Linked DNA regions of Macaca mulatta. The protein of the gene in region 5 interacts with the protein of the main gene of each other region in a pairwise test. Links are inferred from orthologs where the notes say so. Each region holds a gene or a part of one and is shown on either strand. Other genes may lie near its edges.

Region 1 (4,111 bases), on a different chromosome or scaffold from region 5:
AAGCACCAGGAAGGCGAATGGGGATGCCAGAGTCCCACTTGTTCTTGGAACAGCAACCAAACACCTCCAGCAGGAAGGCAGCCCGGATTGCACAGTATCGCCTGCGTCGTGTCTGCCTGGTCCCTGCCTGAGTTCCTAACCTTCTCCTATCACAGGCACAGGGGTCAAGGTGGAAGCTGTGAACCTTCCACAATTGCCTCTCCCTCGTCCCCTAAACTTAGGCCCACGCTACGGTAGCACCAACTGGGTCTTCAGCACTGTGGACAGAGCCAGAGAGCGCCTCAAGGTGGAAAAGCCGCCTGGCTGGGCCAGGGTCCTCACAGGCCTCGCCTTAGCCCTTGGTGCCCAAGGCACTAGCTGCTAGAGGATAGCAAGTCTAAGGGCCGGCTGGCACAGATGGCGCGCAGTGGAGACCGCCAGTACCTAGGGCTCCGAATCTCCTCCCTCCGGAACGTGAGTCACTGCTCGAGTCACTTCCTACAAGCGTGTTAATGAAGAGGCAAGACCCTCTTCCCTCGCCAGCCACTCAGGCATACACCAACCCAGCGGTTTCCAGGGGCTTCAGCTAAAGTTTCCTTCCCAGCTCCGGGAGAGCAAATGGACCGGGGTCTGGGGCTTCAGGCGAGCCCCTCACAGAAGCGGCCCCACCGCCGACAGGTGGAGATCAAGAGACTCCCGTGATAGGCCCCCCAGCAGGGCGCTGGTCCCCCGGCCTCCCTGACCATGGCTCATAGACTTCCAGCGCTGAGTGAGGAGCCTCGAAGCCCCTCAGCCAATCTGTTCCTGGGCCTCACTCCACAGTTTCTGAGGGGATCTCTGCTTTAAGTCTAGCCTCAATCCTCCCGTTTAGCTTTCTGTCTTTCTTGTTATGCTTGGCAGAAAGATACATGATCTCTGGTGCTGTTTCACAGAAGCAGGGAAGTGGGTCGGCGGAACTGAGCGCCCTACGCCCTCTTGAAATGGCCCCCCATTCCTATTCGCCAGAAACTTTCCCCTCCCGTTGCCATGGAGAGAGACCGCCGCTGCCTCCCGTCGCCATAGCAACATGCGGGTACGGCTGACCGCAGGATTGCGGAGCTCGGAAAGTCTTGCAGTTCGCATCGCCCGCCTGTCTTGGGGTCTTCTACCTCCGAAGCTGGGACTCGGGGACCAGTCTAACTTCTCCCGTCAGGAACCTCTGCCAAGGTCCCCCCAGACCCAGCCTGACCGTCGCTCTTTCTGTTACGGGGTTATCTATTTCCCTGTCATTCGTGCGGCATGTGGCAGTTTCCCCAGTGTTACCACAAACACGATCGTTCTGTCCCCAGGGAGCCCGTGAAGTACTTAAAATCATTACACCACCTTTACGGAGAGGAAAATTGAGGCTCAGAGACGCCCAAGGTCACACCAGGCAGTGAATGCGGAGCGGGAACCCGGACTCCTTCTTGGCCTTGCACCCTCTGAGATTCGGGACAGCCCGGCTCCCCGCCTCGAACCCCCTACTCCCCGGACTCAGACCAGTCCCTGAGTGTAGAGGGGGCGGCCGCGAGGCGCCAGACTTGCCAGCTGCCGCGGGATGCCACGTGAGGGGCGGGGACCCTGCGGGGAAGTGATTAAAAGCAGAGCGGAGCCGCAGGGGGCCGCTGCAGGGAGGGTCTTCTTGGGGCCGTTGTGCCCCGCCCCAGTCCGGCCGCGGCGCGGGTTCGAGCTGCTGCTCGGCAGGCCTGGGTGTCTGGGGCATGAGCGGGGTGTGGGGGGCCGGCGGGCCTCGGTGCCAGGAGGCGCTCGCGGTCCTCACCTCGCTGTGCCGGGCCCGGCCGCCCCCTCTCGGGCTGGACGTGGAGACTTGTCGGAGCTTCGAGCTGCAGCCCCCAGAACGGAGTCCCAGCGCGGCAGGCGCAGGTAACGGGAGACCCAGGGCCCCTTCCCTTCCTGGATATCCGTCCTGAGGTCTCCCTTCCCCAAAGTCCCGGTCCCAGGAGCCCCAGAACCTAGCGAGAACTCTCCAGCTAGGGATTCTGGATTGGGAGCCAGCCTCGTCCAGCCCCCTGACCCATCGCTTGCACAGCCAGGAGAGACCCGAAGGGGACCGGGGGTGGGGGTAGAACCCCCCTGGCCCTCCCGTATTACTACTGCGGACTGCGGGGGACCCCGCAGACAGCCAGGCTCCCAGGACCGGGCACCCTCGGGGCTTCAGTTTCCCTCGCATCTCCAAGCTCGCTCTGCGGGCAATCTACCAGGAGAGGGGTCCATGGAGAGCGGGAGACAAGGGGCGCCCGGCTAAGGAAGAGAGCTCGCCTCCTAGCAAGTGTCGAGGTCCCGGGGTCCGTGCGTCGGTCTGTCCGTCCGTGTGCGTGTTCTCGCGGTGAACGCGGGCGGACCCCCGGTCTCTCCGGGAGAAACTTGGGTCTGCGGCTGGCACGAGGTCTTTGTGTCCGGGTGTCTCTCCAGCTGCGAGTGGTTTTCCGCGTCTCCGCTGGGGGGCGGGGGACGGGGGGCGGGGTGGGGGAGGGTATGAGGGTGTTGCGGCGTCCTTCCCCCACCCCCCTCGCCCCTATAACTCGCTCCCTCCGTCCCTCTCGGACTCGGACTCGGGGCGGGTGCGCGACTGAGCGGGCGCCTCTCGCCGACTTTGCCAAGAGGGCGCCTCCTGCCCAAGCCGCGCGGACCCTGCGCCGGACGCAGCCCCAGGCGGCCGCCTAGCCGAGGCGGGAGCCCGAGCCGAGTCGAGCTCGCCGGAGCGGGTGAGTCCCGAGCCCGATCCCCGCCGGGCTGGACCCCGGCGCGCAGCTGCGGTGTCTCCGGGGAGTCGCGACAGCGGGAATGGCGTGTCGCGCCCTGGCGGCGGCAGCTGCGGGAGGGTCGGCGACGTGGCGGCCGGCCCCGGGTATTTACCTGCTGCACCAGTGCCCTGCAGTCACGCTCGCCGGCTGCCGCGGGGCTTCTTTGTCCCGACGTCTGGAGGGTCCCGGGCGGGAGGGAGTACGGGGTCGTGTCCCCTCCGTGGTGGAGGGGCTGGGGGGGTGAGAGGCCTGGAGAGAATGCGGAGTGGGGGTGGGGAGATCCTGCAGGGACCAGGGCACCGGGGTTCCAGGAGGCTCTGCGGGCTCCATTCCTCCTTGTTCCCCGACCCCGACTCCAGTAGGGCTGGGCCTAGGAGTACTCGGGAGTTGCCCAGTGGCTCCGCATCGCTGGCGCGGGAAGGGGAGACAGGGGCTGCCAGAGGCGGGAATTTGGTCCCCACGCCCTGCTCCAGGGACGAGATGCCAGGGACCGGCGGTTCCAGGAGCAGGTATAGGTGGGGTAAACTCCCCAGCGGCTGCAGGTCCCAGGGTCCTTTCACTTGAGGTTAAAGGTCGTATATAGAGGTAGATACCCGTGAGGAACAATTCAGGGGAGGGGGCAGTAGGCCAAGGGGAGCCTTGGGTGTGTGAGGGGGCTGTATCCAGCCTTGGGGTGATTGGAGCCCACCTGAGCCCCGTGAGGGTCGTAGGAGGCGCTGCTCTCCCTAGTTGTGGCAATGTTTAGTCAATGGCTTGATCACTGCAGCAGAAGGGACTGAGGTTAGACATAAAGAAGAACTTTTAGAGGGTAGTATGGAGATGGAGGTTGGGGAAGTTGATTCCCTGCCTTGGAGATTCGCAGAACACGTTAGGCCTAACAAGTTATTATTATAAGACTCTGGTTCTCTGGTGCCATCCCCTCCCACACCACCCGTTTCCCCATACCCACCAGACACAGAATTTTCCCTATCAGGGAGTCTCTTCCTGCCTCTCCCTACTCCCCAGCTCCCTTCCATCTTTTCCACCAAGGATCCATCTCCAGCGGGGCCTTAATGCTGGTCCTGACCCTCAGAGCCTACAGGGTGAGAACATACCTGTGGAGTTCCACCTGGGATGGAAGCTGCCTCTCCTGTCTGTTCAGGGCAGAAATGCCAGGGGTGAGGGTGGAAGTTGCTGGCAGTGGGGCAGGGCTGTATGTACGCAGCACATCTTGGTAGGGGGAAGCACTGGTGTTCTGACTCCAGAGGGATACCCATCATCTGCAATGACAGGTGCCTGGATGGCCAGGTTGAGGGTGAGAAAAGCCTGAGGGGTGAGAGTCAGCAGGCCCAGATGAATTACTATGCCTT
Region 2 (4,024 bases), on a different chromosome or scaffold from region 5:
TGACATCTCTACACATTAGTTTTCAATCTGTAAAATAGGACTGATAATATGGATGGTGTGTGAAAACATATACTGTGCATCATTTATTATTTTGCTTTACATTCTGTAGCACCCTCTAGTGGTGTATACAAAAATATGCATTGCATTTCTACTCTCCAAAGCAGTGGTTCTCAAACTTCAGTGTGTGCTGGAATCACTGGGATAGTTTGTAATAACACAGATTACCAAACCCCACCGTGAGAACTTCTGATTCATTAAGTTTGAGGTGGGACCTGAGAATGTGAATTTCTGACAATTTTTCAGGTGATGCTGATGTTTCTGGTACATCCAGGAAACACATCTTGTGAACCACTGCTCTAAAAAAATCCCTCTTGTGTACAAGTATATAAGATAGATAATTGAAAGGGGTATGATTTTTGTTGTTTGACTTTGATCTAGTACTGCTCATCTAATAAGGACTTGGTGATAAATTAAAAAAAAAATCGACATGAAGGATATAACACAGCATCTAAAATATAGAAAGCATACAAAAAACTGAGGATCACAGAACATAAATCATTTGCCCAGGGTACTGAGACTAGTAAGTGGTGGAATGAGGTTAACAATTAAGTCTCTTTCTCTTACTCCAAAGACACAATAAAGTCTATCAATACCACTACAGAAAATAGGGTGCAAACACACATATCTGATACAAATTTCAAGAGAAAAGGAAAATCAGTTTTCAATACCAGGGTCCAAGTTTTACTGATGAGTTCTTATCTCTTTACTAAAGTAACAGCTATCTGTATTTTCAGTTTGGGTGAGTTGCGAGCATTTGAAAAGGTGAGGAAAAAGGGTTAGGATCTTCAGCATCAGTGCTTGGGTCATTCATTAACTCTTTGATTAAACAAGGCAAGGACAAAAGAAGCGAGGGATGGAGAGGGGCCTTCCCCCCCGCCCCCCCACCCAAGGAGAAAAGGAAAGAAATGAGTAAAATTATTTGGATCTTGGGTCACAGTTCCCTGACTACTAGTGCTATTCACAGAAGCTGATTTTATTTTTTCCTAGGAATGAACGATATCAATGATGCCTTAGATATTAGCGTTCAGCAAATCAAGAAAGGGGAGGGGGGAGGGAAACAAAATCCCAGAATCCCAGGGACCACACAGCCAATCCTTTGCTGGGATTTGGCGGCATCTAGTGGCGAACTCGAGAGGTATAAACCTTACCCACAGAACTTTCTGGAAAATTAACAGTGCGTATTTGCCTGAAGAAGGTCAGTGTGCTTGCTTGGAGATCAGGACGCAAAGGTAAGAGCGCCCTAGTCACCATAAAAATCCGGAGTCTCTAACGGAGGGGAAGGCTGTCATAGATAGATATTCTCATAGGAAAATTGTATTTGTGCCAAGAGAACTGCACGCAACCTTGAAGGGAGGGGGGAGGTGTGGAAGAGGGGAGGGAGGAGGATACTAGACAACTTGAAAGAAGTCTCCCTTTGGAGTTGCTAATGTGACGATGGAAGGCTTTGGCTCTGAATCATTGGAGGGCTGTGGTTTACGACCGGATTTTGGCACAGAGGAGTATTTAAATCAGGGAAAGCCAAAATATTTCTGACAGTGCCCCTTTATCTCTGTTATTGTCGCCTTGCCTTAATTATTTATTTTCATTTTCATTAGAACATTTTCAAACAAAATACAGAAATAGATAACCTGCGCGCAGTAGCTAACCCCTCCCCGCAACTCCCACCCCAATCACGCACGCGGGCGCGCGCCGTGGCTCTCACCAGTCCAGACGCCAGGGGCGCACGCCTGCGCAAACACATCACCTCCAGCGCCACGAGGGCCGCTCACACAGCAACCCCAGGGGCACTCGAGCCTGCCCGCGCACTAACACACTGGCCTTAATGCCTTGCGCCCGTTGCACTCACGACCCTAACTCGCAAACACAGCAGAACCCCCCACTGCGCCTTTTTTTTCCATGTTCGGGGAGTTGCGCCACAGGCCTGGGGGCGTGGCTCCAGATTTGACCTCGCGCTTCCCCACTCGCGGGAACCTTAGCTCATTTCCGCCTATTTCCGCAGGCCACGTAGACACTTCCTCTCCCAGTGGGGGGCTGGGGGGAAACACAAACCCATAATGCCTCCCTGCAGGAAAAAAATTAAAAAAAAAAAAAAAAGGAAAAGGAAAAAAAAAAAAACCTTCTGGTCAGAGGAACTCTGGGTCGTGAAATAGGCCACGTGAACATTCTGCCCTATAGACTTATGACCCAACGGCTGTCACGCTTTTGGAGGGCGGGCTAAAAACCTAAGAGGGCGAACGTCATTGGCCGGAACTCGCACTGACGGAGGAAGAGGATTGGTTTGCTGTAGGCCTTAACAGTGAAGAAGCAGGTTGCTAGCACCCGCCTTTACTGCGGCGAAGTGTCATTGCTGACGTGGGGGTGGTTGTCCAATCATTTGGTTATGGAACATTCTAAAACTTAGACAAGACGATTGTGATTGGCTGAAGGGCATACGCCCTCCTCCAGGGTGACGTGTCTGCCTATGGATATCAGTTGCCAGAGAAACCTGGCTTTACTATGGCGGTTGGAGGAACGGCAGTGATCACACGTCGTCTGCTGGGAAGATCTGGATTCTCGTTTCAGGTTTCGGGGTGGGGGTGGGGAGAAAGGGTCGATGATTTCCTCTTTTCGTCGGGTATAGACGGGATTAGCTAGTTCCTTCACAATCGGTCAGAGCTGGATTCAGATTCCTGCTCGCCAACGCCCAGCTTGGGCAAGGCTCCTGTTCTTTCTGTGTCTCGGTTTCCATGTTTGTAAAATGGTGATAATAATAGTATCTACCTCAGAGACGTGTACTGTATAATGGTGCGTATAAGGCACGTAATATGAAGCCTGGCCCCTGAAGATATTAGCTATTGTTATGGAGATAAATAATACACGTAATAGAATGAGAAAAATTATAAATTATATAAATTCGCTAATTGTAGTGCCCTTTCTGCCATCAACTTCTTTCCTAGAATAAATTAAAGATAAAAGAGATATATCAATTTTTACCAATGAAATAATTTGCTCTTTGGGAATTGCCTCAAAATTGCAGAGATTGTAATTTTCCCATGTTGAAAAGTTAAATAAAAGGTGGGGGGGTGGAGTGCGAGAAAGAAAGAGATGGAGAACGAGAGCGAGCTGGAGATGAACCACATGCGATGAGTAGGCCTTGTTTGGATCCTGAATCGAACACACCAACTGTAAAAATATGTTTAAGACGCATCGGGAAAATTGGAACATGGATTCGATATTTGATGTTTTTTAAGGAATTGATGTCAATTTTTTTAGGCGTCACAGTAGTATTGTGATTATGTTTTCAAATTGTCCTTTTTTGTAGAGACATATACGAAAATATTTACGGATTAAATAATATAATGTCTGGGATTGGCTTCTAAATACATTAATGACTAGGATTTGCTTCAAAATAATCTAAGCGGTAGGGGGAAATGGGGAGGGGTATAGATGAAACAAAATTGACCCTAAATTAATAATAGTTTTTGCTGAGTGATAGGCAGTGGGTTCCGTATATTAATCTGCTTTCCTTGGTATACGTTTAAATTTTTGTATAATAAAATACAGAAGTCAGATATTCCCGTGAGCTTGAAAAAGTCGGGGGTGGGGGGGAGCAGTGGGTGGGGTTATAGATGAAACAAGATGGCCTTCAGTTGGTAATTGTTGAAAGCTGGATGATGGATTCGTGTAGGTTTGTAATACTATTCTTTTATTTCATCCATTTGAAATTATCTTTAAGGAAAAGTTAAAAAAATTGTCAGAAATTATATAAATATACAATAAGTTAAATTTGAAAATGTAGCCACAAGAAAGGAAAAAGAAATACTTGTACATTATTTATCAGCTTTGGTGTCCTTTGTGTGTGATGAAATTGCATTGGCTGATGTAGAAGAAAGCCATATCTCATATCTTTTTATTTTATGTCCTTTCCTGTCCTTTTGTTTGACCTTCTAGGTCACCATCAGAAAAGCTAAGTTTGCTGTATAGT
Region 3 (3,963 bases), on a different chromosome or scaffold from region 5:
GGACTTTCACTTATGGGAGAGAGAAAAGTTTCAAGGTAGGGAGAGAGTTTTTGTTTTGTGTTCTAAGAAATTGGGAACTATATCCTTCACCTTGTTTCACCTTCCCTGCAGAATCAATGGGGGAGTCCTTTGAAAAATAAGTGGGTAGAGTTTCTTGTCCAATTGGCTTCCCCTTAGGCACAGCACTAGGTAAACCATCATTCTCTCCTTAGGCACACTATTATTCTGTTCGCCATTTCACAATGTCTGTCTGGATGTATAAAAGCCCTCTCAACGGGCTCCCTAAAGCGTCTGCCAGTAGTGGCTCCCACCCTCTTTCCTCAACACTCCCAATCCACCGCAGCCCAGAGCACTGTGTCTGGTTATCTAACCATCTGACTCTCCCGTATACTACATTCTTGAGCTGTTTTTCACCCCCCTATTTGCTAGCCCTGGGCCGTACATAGGGTGGGCCCCTACATTTTGTTAAACTGGAGGGATTCTACGCAAATGCACGCTCACCCTGCAGAGAATTGTATGCCTTATCTTCAGCACTAAACTAAAATCTAATCAAGGAAGTCCGGATCCCATAGGATTCTTGCTACTCTCCAGTTCGGTTTATTTTAAGCCCAACAGCCCTAGCTTCACGTCCCTCCTTCGCAGCCTTCTTTCCTTCCCTCCTGCCGGATGCGCCCAGCAGCCGTTGAGCCCAAGCCCCGCGGATTTGGAAGGAGACCCCCCCATCGGGGAAAAGGGAGCGAACTTGGGCGCAAAACCCGCCCGGCAACTCTTGACGTTATCTCGCCCCGCGCTCGGATGGACTGTACTCACTCCACGCTGGTTGAGATGCTCTTAAAGTCCTTTGTAACCCAGATTGGAGCCTGAGGGGACCTCTCGTGGACGCCCACAGAAATGCACTCGAGAGGAACATAAAAGCATCACACTTCAGCGCTAGAAAGAAAGCACCAGGAACCCATACAGGCTCCTCCCAGCTCCTTCCTTGAAGCTCCTCCTTCATCCTGCACCTCGGCTGTTGATTTATTTCCCCTTTGTTGACTCGGCCATCGGCCTGCCGTGCCTGGGCTTTCCCAGAAGGCCCAGCGCCGGGAAGGGGTTTGCAGCTGCTCCGTCATCGTGCGGCCCGACGGTAGCCCGCGCTGGTGTGTAGGCCCGGCTCGGCTCCTGGTCCCCGGTGCTACGGTTCACGCGAGGCCCCGGCCTCGGTCCCCGGACTAGGCCGTGACCCCGGGTGCCATGAAGCAGGAGGGCTCGGCGCGGCGCCGCGGCGCGGACAAGGCGAAACCGCCGCCCGGCGGCGGAGAACAAGAACCCCCACTGCCCCCGGCCCCCCAGGATGTGGAGATGAAAGAGGAGGCGGCGACGGGTGGCGGGTCAACGGGGGAGGCAGACGGCAAGACGGCGGCGGCAGCAGCTGAGCACTCCCAGCGAGAGCTAGACACTGTCACCTTGGAGGGTACGGGAGCCCAAGCCGGGAACGTGCCGCGATCACGGGTGACAGCGACCCCTGTGATTCGGCTTCTCGCTGGGAAGCCAGAGCAGCCTCCACAACCCTCAGTTCCTTGGGATTACCCCCAGATACCTGCCCCCGCTACCCTGACACTTCCGACTCCAGGCCCAATGACTGAACCCTTCTCTCCAGGCTGGGAACCACTCCCCTCCCATCCCCTCCATCCCCATATCTGGGGTTGCATCTATATCTAGGTTCCACTGGGCCTGGGGACTCCTTCTTCTAAGTCCTCCCCTTTCTAAGCCCTCCCCTCTGACCTATTCCATTTATATCCCACCTGACTGATTTTAGCGCCTCCAATATATGACTGATTGATCCCGCTAGAAACCAGTGTTTGTGTCTACGTGTGTAAACAGGGCCGGAATGACCTAGAATATCGACTCCTGATTTTTAAAACTGTACAGCAGATTTTTGTTGTCCTAGCTGCCTTTAGCACACTCCCCCGAATGAACCATTTCGACCTAGTATCTTGTTTCCTATTTCTCTAACTGAAGTATCCCCACAGTCCCTTTGCTGTCTCCTTCTCCCTTCAGGTCCCTACTGCCCCTCTGTTTCTAAAGGGTCTAAGTACACACACACTTAAAACTTTTCGGGTGTCATCTTTGGTTTTGTAATACTAACCTTTGGCCTAAACTGCTGTACACCAGTGTCTCCTATTTCTTTTCTCCGAGGTTCCTGTTTCAAGTATCCGTAGTCCTCTTGTTCCTCCAAGTTCATGTTTTACTTTTCCCACTTAGAGCATCCTGTCTCCATTTGAAGTGGGTAAAGTGAGAGCTTCCCACTGTGATCCTGGTGCCGTTTTCGTGGTTCTGGATCAAGTGGGACCACACTACTTACTAGGTTTTTTTTTCACTAAAATGCATGAGAAAGTAGCTCAAAAACATTGAGATAAGGAAAATTATCCTCCTAAGTGGTACATTTGAGGATGTGATGCTGTTGACCACAGCTCTTAACGGTAAAGTTGAGCAACAGGATCAATATTTGATAGACATCCTTTTGCCTAAAGTAGTGACAGCCAGTGTCAAAGGTGCCACTCAGCATTGCCTACTGGGTGTGTTTATTACAAGCACTTCATTTTCTTGTTGTAAAGTAATTCATATTCATTGCAGAGATTTTGGAATGTATGAGAAGTTAAAAGCAGGGGGAAGAAAACATGGTTAACATTTTTTCTTATGAATTTTTGAGCTACTCTCCTATAATTGAGAGCAAGTTATGTATATAGTTTGTATCAAGGCATAACTAAATATAAATTTTGAATTTTATGTGTTTTCATTAACATTCATAAACATAATCAGCAATTTATTCCAGAAACATTTGTTGAATACCCAATATAATGGTTAAGAGTAGTACAAGTTCTGGGCCGGGCGCGGTGGCTCAAGCCTGTAATCCCAGCACTTTGGGAGGCCGAGACGGGCGGATCACGAGGTCAGGAGATCGAGACCATCCTGGTTAACATGGTGAAACCCCGTCTCTACTAAAAAAAAAAATACAAAAAACTAGCCGGGCGAGGTGGCGGACGCCTGTAGTCCCAGCTACTCGGGAGGCTGAGGCAGGAGAATGGCGTGAACCCGGGAGGCGGAGCTTGCAGTGAGCTGAGATCCGGCCACTGCACTCCAGCCTGGGTGACAGCGTGAGACTCCGTCTCAAAAAAAAAAAAAAAAAAGAGTAGTACAAGTTCTGGAATCCATTCCCTCATCTGTGTAAATATGAGTAATAGTACAATACTTTATTGGGTTGTTGTGAACATTAAAATGCTTAAAACTGTGCCTAGCACATAAATATCAGCTGTTATTATTATATCTTAGTGTGGCCCAGATACCCTGTGCTAAGTGCTAACTATACAGAAGTACCTAAGAAACTACTCATTGATTGCATTCCCTTACTGCTTTGCATTTAAACTGTTTCTAGTTTCTTCCTATCGTAAATAACTTTGAAGCAATCATCTTTGTGCCCAACTTAAAAAAATCTACTTTTATAATTATTTCTTAAGTACAGATTCACACCAAAACCTATATACCTGAGTTAAAAAGGCTGAACATTTTAAAGATTTTTGATAGTTATCATCCAGAAAAACTGTGCTGATTTACATTATACCAGGAGAAATGTAGTTTTCACTGTACTCTATAATTTTTTTTTTTTTTTTTTTTTGAGACAGAGTCTTACCCTGTTGCCCAGGCTGGAGTGCAATGGCGCGATCTCAGCTTACTGCCACCTCCGCCTCCCAAGTTCAAGCGATTCTCCTGCCTCAGCTTCCCAAGTAGCTGGGATTACAGGTGCCCACCACCATGCCCGGCTAATCTTTTCATTTTTAGTAGAGACGGGATTCACCATGTTGGCCAGGCTGGTCTTGAACTGCTACCCTTATGATCTGCCCTCCTCAGCCTTCCAAAGTGCTGGGATTACAGGCATGAGCCACCGCCTCCCGCCTATAATTTTTTTAATGTTACTAATTTGGT
Region 4 (4,004 bases), on a different chromosome or scaffold from region 5:
GGTCATGGTAACAGTTTTGGGGAATGCTCAAAATATACGACTAAATGACTTTTTGAAGGGCCAAACCATCATTAAATGGGCTTACTAACAGAATTTTTGAGAAAATTAGCCAAAGCATGAGCAGAAAAACCATTATCAGAGAGTTCTACCTAATCATGAAAAAGTTCTTGCTGTTGCATTTCACTGAACAAAGGGCAGTTTGGCAAAAGTTTCAATGGGAAATCATGAGGCGTCCACCTTACAGTCATGATGTGGAACCTGCTGACTTCTATTTCTTTCCTAGTATTAAAAATTCTGCAAACGGCACCCAGTTTTCTTCAGTTAATAATGGAAAAAAAGATTTCATGGAAATTGTTAAGTTCCCAGAACCATCAGGGCTTGAGGGACAAGGTGGGGGCAAGACAGTGCTTGAAAACTGTCTTGAAATTGATGGAGCAGATGTTAAGAAATAAAATCAAACGGTTTTATTTTGGTCTTTTAATCCCAGTTTTGACAAATGTTTGAAAGTCCCCTCACAAAACATCAGTCCTAGGTAAAGAGTTGTTATCCTGTATTGGTTCTTCTTTCTGTGATTTTATCTTGCTGTGTTATTTTCTGTTTTACTCCCAAGAAGACTCAGTCTGCTTTTTTTTTGAATCCACAGATACGGAAACTGATATAATGGTAGGCCAACGGTAGAACTCAGTGGGGTGTGTCGAGGCTGAAATTCACCTAATCAACCTCTGGGGCACAGCAGTCCACCTGGCGTGGACCGTCCCGATTGTCTGCATTGTGCTGACGGCATGAGTACGTATTGGGGCGGGGAAGCCCAGGAGCTAAGAGGGTCAGGGCTAGAGCCGTGAGTGTGGGCCTGCCGTGGGCCATATAAGGCCCAGCTCTGGCACCAGAGCTGCATTCCGTGTAGGACTGCAAACCGCAGAGGTCACTCCAGCTATGGCTCCACATCCCGAGGACTAGAAGCAGGCTTGCTCAGCGGTCTGCAAGGACCGGCGTTCCAGACCAAGTGGCCCGCTGCACTGAGGACTGAGCTTGCTCCAGGCTGTGGTGACTCCACGTCATGAGGCCTACGGTCTGCAAGGACCAGCGACCCGGAACCAGTGGTCCGCTGCTTCGAGGACCGAGCTCGCTCCAGGCTGTGACTCCACATCCCGAGGTCGCTGCCTGGCTTCGTGTCCCGCCGCCCCGAGGAAAGAGCCGAGACCTCCAGGACAGTGACGCCTGCACAGCTCTGGTGAGATGGCAGCAGGATCCATTACGCTGCACGCAGTGGAGAAGCTGCAGGTGTATCTGACCACTAAGATGGACCCGAAAAAGCTAGAGAAATATTTGCAGAAACTCTCCGCCTTGCCCATGACGGCAGACATCCTGGCGGAGACTGGAATCAGAAAGACGGTGAAGCGCCTGCGGAAGCACCAGCACGTGGGCGACTTTGCCAGAGACTTAGCGGCCCGGTGGAAGAAGCTGGTGCTTGTGGACCCAAACACCGGGCCTGATGCACAGGACCCCGAGGAGAGCGCTTCCCGAAAGCGCTATGGGGAGGCTCTTCAGGACCAGGAAAAGGCCTGGGGCTTCCCAGAGAACGGGAAGGTCCCCAGGAGCCCACCTGACAGTCCTGAGCACAGACGGACAGCACACAGAACACCTCCGGGACTCCAGAGACCTCACAGAAGGTCTCCCAGTCGCGAGCACAGAGCCCAGAGAAAGCGCCGCAGAAGGGCCCCAGCTGATTCAGGCCCCCATCGGGCCCCTCCATTGCACACCGCTCCCCTCCCGACGCCCGAGGGCCCTGAGCCGGCTGTGCCCGGGAAGCAACCCGGAAGAGGCCACGCTCACGCCGCTCAGGGCGGGCCTCTGCTGGGTCAGGGCTGCCAGGGCCAACCCCAGGGGGAAGCGCTTGTAAGCCACAGCAAGGGACACAAATCGTTCCACCAGGAAAAATGCCCCTTGTGTGCCCAGGGCGATTGGCACTCCCCTACTTTGATCAGGGAGAAATCATCCTGGGCCCGCTTAAGAGAGGAAACCCCAAGGATGCCCTTCCGGGAAAGTGCCAGGGACAGGCCGTCCTCGGGTGACGCCAAGAAGGACAAGGAAGGGGGACCAGCTGGCAGCAGCCAGCATGTCCCCGCCTTGGTGGTGGCTCCAGACGGTCACCCAAATAGGCCTCATCACAGACACTTGAACAAGAAGATGCCCAGTCTAGATGGCCCGTACCCAGGAAATGGGACACACCGCCTGTCCTCTGAGGAGAAAGAGCAGCTTTCCAACGACCAAAAGACTCAAGAGGGGAAGCCACCAACGGCTCATGTGGGCAGAAGGTCCATGAGCTCCCTCTCTGAGGTGGAGGAGGTAGATATGGCTGAGGAATTCGAGCAGCCCACTCTGTCATTTGAAAAATACCACACTTATGACCAGTTGCAGAAGCAAAGGAAAAAGACTGGGGAGTCTTCCACCACTGCACTTGGAGATAAACAAAGGAAAGCAAACGATTCAAAGGGCACTCGTGTGTCCTGGGATTCAGCTAAGAAATTGCTTCCTTTCGAGGAAAGCCAGTCAGAGAGGCTGCAGGCAGCCGGTGCTGATTCTGCAGGGCTGAAAACGGTGCCCAGCCATGCCTTCTCAGAGCTCTGGGACCCCTCAGAGGCCTGGATGCAGGCCAACTACCATTCGCTATTGGATTCTGACTCCATGACCTCCCAGGCAAAGCCAGAAGCACTCACTGCACCAACCTTCCAGGAGGAAACTGCTTTCACTGGAGGCAGAGTGAATGCTAAGATGCAGGTGTACTCGGGCTCCAGGCCTGCCTGTCAACCCCAGGTGCTGACGCTGCGCCAGCAGTGCATCCGGGTCCTTAGAAACAATCCCGACACCCTCAGCGATGTGGAAGGAATCCCCTACTGGTATCTTGAACCCGTTCTGGAAGGGTGGACACCTGATCAGCTGTATCGCAGAGAGAAATACAATCACGCACTCGCTGGGGACACAGATGAATTATGGAGGATTCATTGTCTCCAGGACTTCAAGGAAGGAAAGCCACAGGAGCAAGAGTCTTGGCGGGAGCTGTGCCTGCGGCTTCAGGACACCCGAGAGCAGCGACTACGAGTACTGACAGCAAATATCCGATCTGCACGTGAAAACAACCCCAACAGCAGAGAGGCAAAGATGATCTATTTCAACTCTGTGGCCAAGACGCCTTATGATGCTTCAAGGAGGCAAGATAAGTCTGCAGGAGCTGCTGAACCTGAAAATGGAGAGCTCAAGCTAGCCCCAAAGCCTGGGGTAAGCAGCCACGTTCCCTCCAGCAGGGGCAGTGACAGTGGTGGCAGAGACAGCAGCAGCAGCAATGTCCTTCACCAGCTCCCTGAGAAGAGGGCCAACCCCTGCCTAAGCAGCAGCAATGAGCGCGTGATGCTCGCGGCCAAAACTCGGAAACAGGCTGCCAAGAAAGTGGCCCCGTTGATGGCCAAGGCAATTCGAGACTACAAGAAAAGATTCTCCCCACGATGAACTCAGGACTTGCCTTGCAGGTAAAATCTGGAGGGAGGAGGACCAATGCAAAGTCAATGCGGGTTGGGGAATGAAACTTCCAATGGACACCAGAACCTTTAGCTTGGTGCAAAGTTGAGCCTTTGAATTCTGTAGGTGTCACGTGCTGGACCTGTGATTTTACCTCCCACACCCAACCACTACCTCCCAGCCTGGAGGACACCTCAGAATTCAGAAGATATGAACACATTCGGAACAATTATCTTTTGGTTGTTCACTGATCGTTTTTAAAATAACACCCTAGTTGTAATCATAAATAAGGAAAAAGATGTGAGATTCCCTTTTTCCTTTCTTTTTTTGGAAATCATCAAGTAGATAAGAACTTATTAGACAAAAATTCACAAGCCATTAGGTGACACTGATAACTCCAAATACATAAACTCTTTATTGTCGTTGTTGTTGTTGTTTTAATAAAACGCTGGGCATGATCCTGTATTCATGACCCATCCTCCTTTGGGAGG
Region 5 (3,500 bases):
TTTGTGATGAAATGGAGCCTGGAGCAAACTCTTTTCGGGTAGAATTTCCTGATTTTTCCAGCACCATCCTACAGAAACTGAACCAGCAGCGCCAGCAAGGACAATTATGTGACGTCTCCATTGTTGTCCAAGGCCACATTTTCCGGGCACACAAAGCCGTTCTCGCTGCCAGTTCACCCTACTTTTGTGACCAGGTACTCCTGAAAAACAGCAGGAGAATTGTTTTGCCTGATGTGATGAACCCAAGAGTGTTTGAGAACATTCTCCTGTCCAGCTATACAGGACGTCTAGTAATGCCCGCTCCAGAAATTGTTAGTTACTTGACAGCGGCAAGCTTCCTCCAGATGTGGCATGTGGTAGACAAATGCACTGAAGTTTTAGAGGGAAACCCTACAGTCCTTTGTCAGAAGCTAAATCATGGCAGTGACCACCAGTCACCAAGCAGCAGTAGTTACAATGGCCTGGTAGAGAGCTTTGAGCTGGGCTCGGGGGGTCATACTGATTTTCCCAAAGCCCAAGAACTGAGGGATGGTGAAAATGAAGAAGAGAGCACCAAAGACGAGCTGTCATCCCAGCTCACCGAGCACGAATACCTGCCCAGCAACTCGTCCACAGAGCATGACCGCCTGAGCACGGAAATGGCGAGCCAGGATGGGGAGGAGGGCGCCAGCGACAGCGCCGAGTTCCACTATACCCGGCCCATGTACAGCAAGCCCAGCATCATGGCTCACAAACGCTGGATCCACGTGAAGCCCGAGCGCTTAGAACAGGCTTGCGAGGGCATGGACGTGCACGCGGCCTACGACGAGCATCAGGTCACAGAGTCCATCAACACCGTGCAGACCGAGCACACCGTCCAGCCTTCGGGAGTGGAGGAGGACTTCCACATTGGGGAGAAGAAAGTGGAAGCCGAGTTTGATGAACAGGCTGATGAAAGCAATTATGATGAGCAGGTGGATTTCTATGGCTCTTCCATGGAAGAGTTTTCCGGAGAGAGGTCGGACGGGAACCTCATTGGGCACAGACAGGAGGCTGCCCTCGCAGCAGGCTACAGTGAGAATATTGAAATGGTAACAGGGATTAAAGAAGAAGCTTCCCACTTAGGATTCTCAGCCACCGACAAGCTGTATCCTTGTCAGTGTGGGAAGAGTTTCACTCACAAGAGTCAGAGAGATCGGCACATGAGCATGCACCTCGGTCTGCGGCCTTACGGCTGTGGCGTCTGCGGTAAGAAATTCAAAATGAAGCACCACCTCGTGGGCCACATGAAAATTCACACGGGCATAAAGCCGTATGAGTGTAATATCTGTGCAAAGAGGTTTATGTGGAGGGACAGTTTCCACCGGCATGTGACTTCTTGTACCAAGTCCTACGAAGCTGCAAAGGCTGAGCAGAATACAACTGAGGCTAACTAAAAATAGGATCTGGCCCTTGAGTGGCATGCACAAAAATAAACTATGGTAATTAATGCAAATCTGGGCACAGATGATGCGTGCTACTTGCTATTATGAGAGAAGCTTAAAAAAAAAAAAGGAAGATATTTCTGAAAGACCAGCTCTAAGTAGGCCAATTAAAAAAATCTAATTCCTCAAATTTGTGTGTTCCAGTCCTGGCCTGGAATGGGTAATGGGGTGAGTTAACCCACCGCCCAGCTGGCAAGGGAAACCTTCTGACCGGTTGTGATTGAAACAGGTGGACAGATACACCTGCACTTGGAACTGGACTCCACCCACCAGTTCCGTTTCGGGTGGCAGCAGCTTTGGATCACTCATTACTACAAGGTCATGCTGAAATTTTATTTTGCTCTTGCTATAGATACTTAGGTAATGTGGATTTGTTTTGATAGCTATTTCCCTGAAGGAAGTGCTACTTATGTAAAAGCTACAACTAATGTGATTCCTAGGATGAGAAATTGGTTAACAGAGCTCTGTTGTCTGGTTTTATTCTTTCTAAAGGATATTTTCACTAAAACTATGGAGATGCTAAGAGAATGACGTTCTAAATATGAAACAGATAACTTACGGTACAAGGCTGACATAGTGCCCTTGTCAGTTTCTGTAAGATGCCACTACTGTCACAAGGTGTTTCAGACTCTTGATAAGGCAGTGTTTTGTATTTTAGTTCTAACAGTTGAGTTTGGACATTTGTATCTAATTGTAATTCTCTAGGGTGCCAGAGATAGGTATTTCTCATTGGTTTGCTTTCCCAAATCCTGTTTGGTTAATTGTAGCCTCCATGCAGTGGGGTCTGCTCTGTGGCTGGTAGACACCAAGCTGCTGTGACTGACCACGGTACCACGGGCCGCTGCAGCCCCTGCTCTGTCTTAGATTATGGTGCTTTACAAAGAGAGTGGTCCATGACCACACTTAGTGGGAAGGAGCCCCAAGTTGTGGCTGAGAGTTCCCTGTGAACTTCGGCAGTTCATGGAGTGCTAAGGTGACACTCCACCAACCAGAGTGAGAGGGCAGATAGGCCGGATTCTATGAGTGATTATACTTAAGGGGAAAAAACGTGCCCAAGGAGAATCTTGAAAATACACTCTTTCAAGGTGGGGGAGATACTCTTTAGGGGGTACACTGAGCTAATACTGCCAGTTCTTTATGAGCGCCAGAATGTGCTTTTAAAAGGAGTCCTAAGTTTAGCAAAGTAGTCTACAGAATCATGCTCCCAAATTATAGATAAAGCTGCTTAAACTTACAAGTCCACAAAGCTATGCCGACCAGAAAAAAAAAAACACGACAAAAAAACCAGCAGCTATTCTGAGACCTTTTCTGCCCATCAGCTAGATGGTTTAGGTTAAAAAGAAAGGTATATTACACATGCTTTTAAGCTGTGTAATGTACCTGAGGTTATCACCAGGGTAGGACAGGGTGCTACTACTATGTCATCTTTTCCATAAACGTACTCGGTTATTTACTTCTAAATAAAAACGTTTTTCCTTAAAATAAAAATAATTTTTCTTGGATTTGGGGTGACATTTTATTTGAAAAGTTTGGCTTTGCTGTAATGTAATAGACATTGCTGGCAATGGCCTCTGATTCTCAAGCTCCTAACACCAAGGTGTTTACTCATTAAACATTTGTCTGGAAAGAGGAAGGAAAATACTTATTTACCAGTTAACTCTTGTAAGCAAGATTACAAACAGGGATTTATTCACAACACTGTATCATTCTCGATATATAAAAAGCACTTTGTATTTAAAACTTTATTATAAATATATATATAGAGAGTTTTTTTTTTTTAAACCTAGAAACTAGATATTACCTCTTGGTTGTTTACCACATTAATAGCTTCTCTTAGTATTGAAACGTTACTGGTTAGCAGTCTTTTCTCTGTGTACCTGACACATGTATACAGAGGGGACTGTACAATCAAGCCTAATGTCTCCTTTTTCTCATGGTAGAGGCCAGTGGGGTTTAGGTATGATCCTAGCCATTATATTTGAGGAGAAATTGTTCTATTATTACCAGTTTCAGTACTAAAGTGGTGATGCCATTCTG
Region 6 (3,500 bases), on a different chromosome or scaffold from region 5:
CTGTAGTCAGTGGCAGGGGAAGGGGCACCAGCCGACCCACCTCGCCAGCCGCTCGCTTTTATGTTCACTCTGGCCTCATCCCTGCGGTGTGGGTGGACTGTGATGGGCTCAGCCGATCCAGTCATGCAGGTCACTCGGGCGCCCGTTTCTGACGGCCACAGGCAGTGCAGCATTGGGCACACTTGCTCAGCTCCAGACGTGTGCACTTGGGTGTCTCCGCGACCTGGGCCGGGATTTCTGGAGGGCGGAGGCTCCAGACACGGAATTGCCAAGGAGAGTGCTGCCCGGAAAGACTTCCAGCGCGCTCCATGCAGACCTCTTCGCTTTCTTACTTTCTAAGCCATGGGACGGGACAGTGGCCTTGCTAACCACGTTCCCCTCTCCCCTGGGGACCCTTGACTGATGGTTTATTGAGCCCAAATCTGGGTGCCCTGGGGTGCAAAGGCAAGTCCCAGGGGACAGCTTAGAGAGAGCCGAGCAGGGAAGCGCTGGGGCTGCGGGGGTCCCTGCCACAGTGTGCTGCTGCACGTGGCTCCACCCCACACGGGGCAGCACAAAGGCAGCTGTCAGAATGCCGCCTTCCTAAGTGGCTTGCAGAGCTGGCAGCTGGGTCAACATTTGCCTCCAGTTGCGATCATGTGAGTGGAGCCTCGTACTTACACAGCCGGGCCCTCAGCAAGCATCCCTTCAGCACCCACTCTGGGAAGTGCACCGGTTCTGGGTGGCTTGTCACACCTCAGCTGAGAAGGTCCCGATTGCTGCCCACAGGGCTGAGATCAGCCTCATGGACTGAGCGGCTTTTCAGCTCCACTCCCTGGGCCTGCCTTCACGGCATTCGTGACCTCATGTGTTTAGTTACAGCTGGCTGCCGGGACAATCCCAACTCCCTCAGGAGGAGGCAGCACCCAAAGGGAGTTAGGGGCTGTCACAGTTGAGAAGAGGGCACTCCGAGAAGGAGGCAGGCGAAATCCCAATGCTTGGGCTCCTGGAACCCCGGCCGGTGAGGGTCCCGAGCTCCTGAGCCTCCGCGTGTCCACTGAGCACCTGCTGCCACACACGCTGTTTCCAGTGCTGGACATGGCAGCGCACAGCCGCACGTGGCTTCCCGCAGCAGGGAGACAGAGACAGATAAGCAGGCAGTCGCAGGGAAGCTGTTGTGCACCATGGGATCAGGGAGCTGCTTGTGAGATGAGGACAGGACAGCACCAGGAGGTGAGGCTGGGGAGGTGACAGAACCAGAGCCCTTGGGGCCATGTCCAGTTCCCTGCCCCTCCCCAGGCTGTCATTTGCTTGGCCCCTCAGTTTTCCCGATTCTCTCAGAGGGGGCAAGCTGGTGAGGGTCTGTTTGTCTACCCAGTGCTTTTTGGACATCATGCAGAAAACTGCACAGACTCTCCTGCCACTCTGCAGACAGGAAACACAGGCCCTGCACCATGTTAGCCTGGCTGGAGCCAGCGTCTGGCCCCAGGTGTCCAAGTCGGTGGCCTTTGGTGTGGGCATGGCCTCATGCAGCATGGCAGTATGCAGTGGTGGCCAGGGCTGCAGCCCCTGCGATTTTTCTGCCTGTCACTCTGTGCCCTCAGCACGGGGCCTCCGATCTGTGCCTGTTTCCTGACTTCTAAAATGGATGCAAGAAGAGATGCTCCAGCATCTTGGCTCCCTCAGGACAGGCTAGGAGATGCAGGACCATCGCCCTGGTGTGGATTTTTAATTGCACTTTCAGATGCATCTCGGCATGCGCAGTGGGTTACAGCCCCTCAGGTCATCTCCGCACGGTCCCTTCCCCAGAGGTTGTCGAGGCGTGTGTGGAGCGATGCCTGGCGTGGTGGAAATGCTGTCAGTGTCAGCCACTGTGACTGGATTTAAGTTGATTATTTTGGATCAAGTGTTATCACACTTCAGGGTGGCCCTGGGAAGCAGGAAGGGGTCAGGACCCAGGAAGTGCCATCTCTCATAAGCCCTGGGGTGGAGGGGCTGGTGGCCTCCCCAGGAGGCCAAGAGGAGAAACAGCATTCAAGAAAAGCAAGTCTGGCCTGGTCCAAGAGACCCCAGCCCAGCCCACTGGGTGAGCAGGGACCATAAGGTCCTGGCTTGGGGCCAGCCGAGCTCATGGCCTCTCGAGGCTGATTCAGCACAGGGACCAGCTGCCAGGTCGGCCCGGGGCATTCAGGGGGCTCTCAGGAGGGAGGGACTGGTGCCTGAGAGAGAACTCTCAGAGGGGGCTCCAGGCACGCATCACCAAGCCCCATTGTGGCCTGAGGCCTAGAGGGCAGGACCCACAGTGTCCACCTCATGTCCACAGGGCCCCAGCGTTAAGGCTGGAATAGGGGGTGGGTGAGCCTGGGGACCCTCAGCCAGGCATGGGTTGGTTTGGGTTGGGGGTAGGCCTGAGCCACAGTTGGGACTCCCCCAGCTCAGGGGATACCCAGGAGAGAGATGGGCTTGGAGGTGAGAAGGGCGTTGAGAGTGGAGTGGCCAGAGGGTCACATGACGTGGTAGGAGGCAGTGGCTGGTGAGTTGCAGACCTCCCCTCACGCCCACACCACCCCCCCCAGGTCAGCGCCAATGGCAACGTCCTGCGCAGCGAGATCGTGGGCTCCATCAAGATGCGGGTCTTCCTCTCGGGCATGCCCGAGCTGCGCTTGGGCCTCAATGACAAGGTCCTCTTCGACAACACGGGCCGTGAGTACCTGTGCCAAGGGCCCTGCCCATGAGGACGGCTTCACCGGGCACGCACATTACAGCCCAGGGCAGGGTTGGGCCAGGCGGAGGAACAAGCTAGTTTCAAGCACTTGGTTTAGCAGCATTTCACCCTGCTTGAGACAGCTGTGTAGAGTATTCATCCATCCCGGGACATAGAAGGCGCAGGGGAGTGAAATCCTCCAGTCCAGCTGGGAGGCCCCCATCACCTGGCCTCACATGCCAGGTCTTGCACCCTGCCCTGCACTGCCCAGGCCGCTGGAGCTCAGGCTGAGGCCTTGCTCGCTCCCTCCCAGGCCAGGTTCTCCCTTCACCTTGGGCCCTAGGTGTGGGCTGTGTGAAGGCCACACACGGTGATTCTCGCTCCTGCCGCTGGTCTGTAACACTTCCCACGGCAGGGGTCAGAGGGGCTCAGAGGGGCTCAGGGCCTGGGTTTGCAAACTGTGCCTCCCGCCTCTCAGCTGTCACAGGCCACTGGAAGAGGGTGCAGTGGCTAGGCATGCCCCCGTTCCTGGCCCAGTGAGGGCTTCTTGGGCATCAGCCCATGAGGGCAGCTCCCCGCCTGGGGCTGGGCAAGGCCCCACCCACATAGCCCTCAGTGAGGTGGGAAACCGAGGAAGACCCAGGACCCCGTGGATGCCGGGGCCTGAGCCCTTGGGGAGCCCCGAGCCATCCCCCAGCCGAGTCCATCGATCAATCATTCAGTGAACGTGTCCTGAGCAGGTCCTCTGGCTGGGCCCTGGGGTGGTCGCTGGAGACTCAGCATGAACCAGACCCACCAGCCCTGCCCCCCGGGACCC

What was found.
Region 1: the proteins of ZBTB43 (region 5) and SYT6 interact in binary tests that used the Homo sapiens proteins (3 or more experiments, as listed by UniProt). The two-hybrid records come from large-scale screens. The link is inferred for Macaca mulatta from reciprocal best matches to the Homo sapiens genes ZBTB43 and SYT6.
Region 2: the proteins of ZBTB43 (region 5) and MORF4L2 interact in binary tests that used the Homo sapiens proteins (3 or more experiments, as listed by UniProt). The two-hybrid records come from large-scale screens. The link is inferred for Macaca mulatta from reciprocal best matches to the Homo sapiens genes ZBTB43 and MORF4L2.
Region 3: the proteins of ZBTB43 (region 5) and PSMD3 interact in binary tests that used the Homo sapiens proteins (3 or more experiments, as listed by UniProt). The two-hybrid records come from large-scale screens. The link is inferred for Macaca mulatta from reciprocal best matches to the Homo sapiens genes ZBTB43 and PSMD3.
Region 4: the proteins of ZBTB43 (region 5) and ELOA2 interact in a two-hybrid assay, tested with the Homo sapiens proteins (2 studies listed by BioGRID and IntAct). The two-hybrid records come from large-scale screens. The link is inferred for Macaca mulatta from reciprocal best matches to the Homo sapiens genes ZBTB43 and ELOA2.
Region 6: the proteins of ZBTB43 (region 5) and AP1M1 interact in binary tests that used the Homo sapiens proteins (3 or more experiments, as listed by UniProt). The two-hybrid records come from large-scale screens. The link is inferred for Macaca mulatta from reciprocal best matches to the Homo sapiens genes ZBTB43 and AP1M1.

The regions. Positions count from the first base shown.
Region 1 is NC_133406.1:126,086,681-126,090,791, forward strand, and holds the start of SYT6 (synaptotagmin-6), read left to right. Parts: upstream 1-1,311; 5' UTR 1,312-1,718; coding exon 1,719-1,881; intron 1,882-4,111.
Region 2 is NC_133426.1:110,318,700-110,322,723, reverse strand, and holds the start of MORF4L2 (mortality factor 4-like protein 2), read left to right. Parts: upstream 1-1,224; 5' UTR 1,225-1,289; intron 1,290-2,553; exon of another isoform or gene 2,554-2,630; intron 2,631-3,990; 5' UTR 3,991-4,024. UniProt on the Homo sapiens protein: Component of the NuA4 histone acetyltransferase complex which is involved in transcriptional activation of select genes principally by acetylation of nucleosomal histone H4 and H2A.
Region 3 is NC_133421.1:64,333,755-64,337,717, forward strand, and holds the start of PSMD3 (26S proteasome non-ATPase regulatory subunit 3), read left to right. Parts: upstream 1-1,163; 5' UTR 1,164-1,233; coding exon 1,234-1,453; exon of another isoform or gene 1,454-2,862; intron 2,863-3,910; exon of another isoform or gene 3,911-3,963.
Region 4 is NC_133423.1:45,344,822-45,348,825, forward strand, and holds ELOA2 (elongin-A2), read left to right. Parts: upstream 1-1,236; coding exon 1,237-3,504; downstream 3,505-4,004. UniProt on the Homo sapiens protein: SIII, also known as elongin, is a general transcription elongation factor that increases the RNA polymerase II transcription elongation past template-encoded arresting sites.
Region 5 is NC_133420.1:20,888,874-20,892,373, reverse strand, and holds part of ZBTB43 (zinc finger and BTB domain-containing protein 43), read left to right. Parts: 5' UTR 1-11; coding exon 12-1,415; 3' UTR 1,416-3,500. UniProt on the Homo sapiens protein: May be involved in transcriptional regulation.
Region 6 is NC_133424.1:16,699,891-16,703,390, forward strand, and holds part of AP1M1 (AP-1 complex subunit mu-1), read left to right. Parts: intron 1-2,555; coding exon 2,556-2,682; intron 2,683-3,500. UniProt on the Homo sapiens protein: Subunit of clathrin-associated adaptor protein complex 1 that plays a role in protein sorting in the trans-Golgi network (TGN) and endosomes.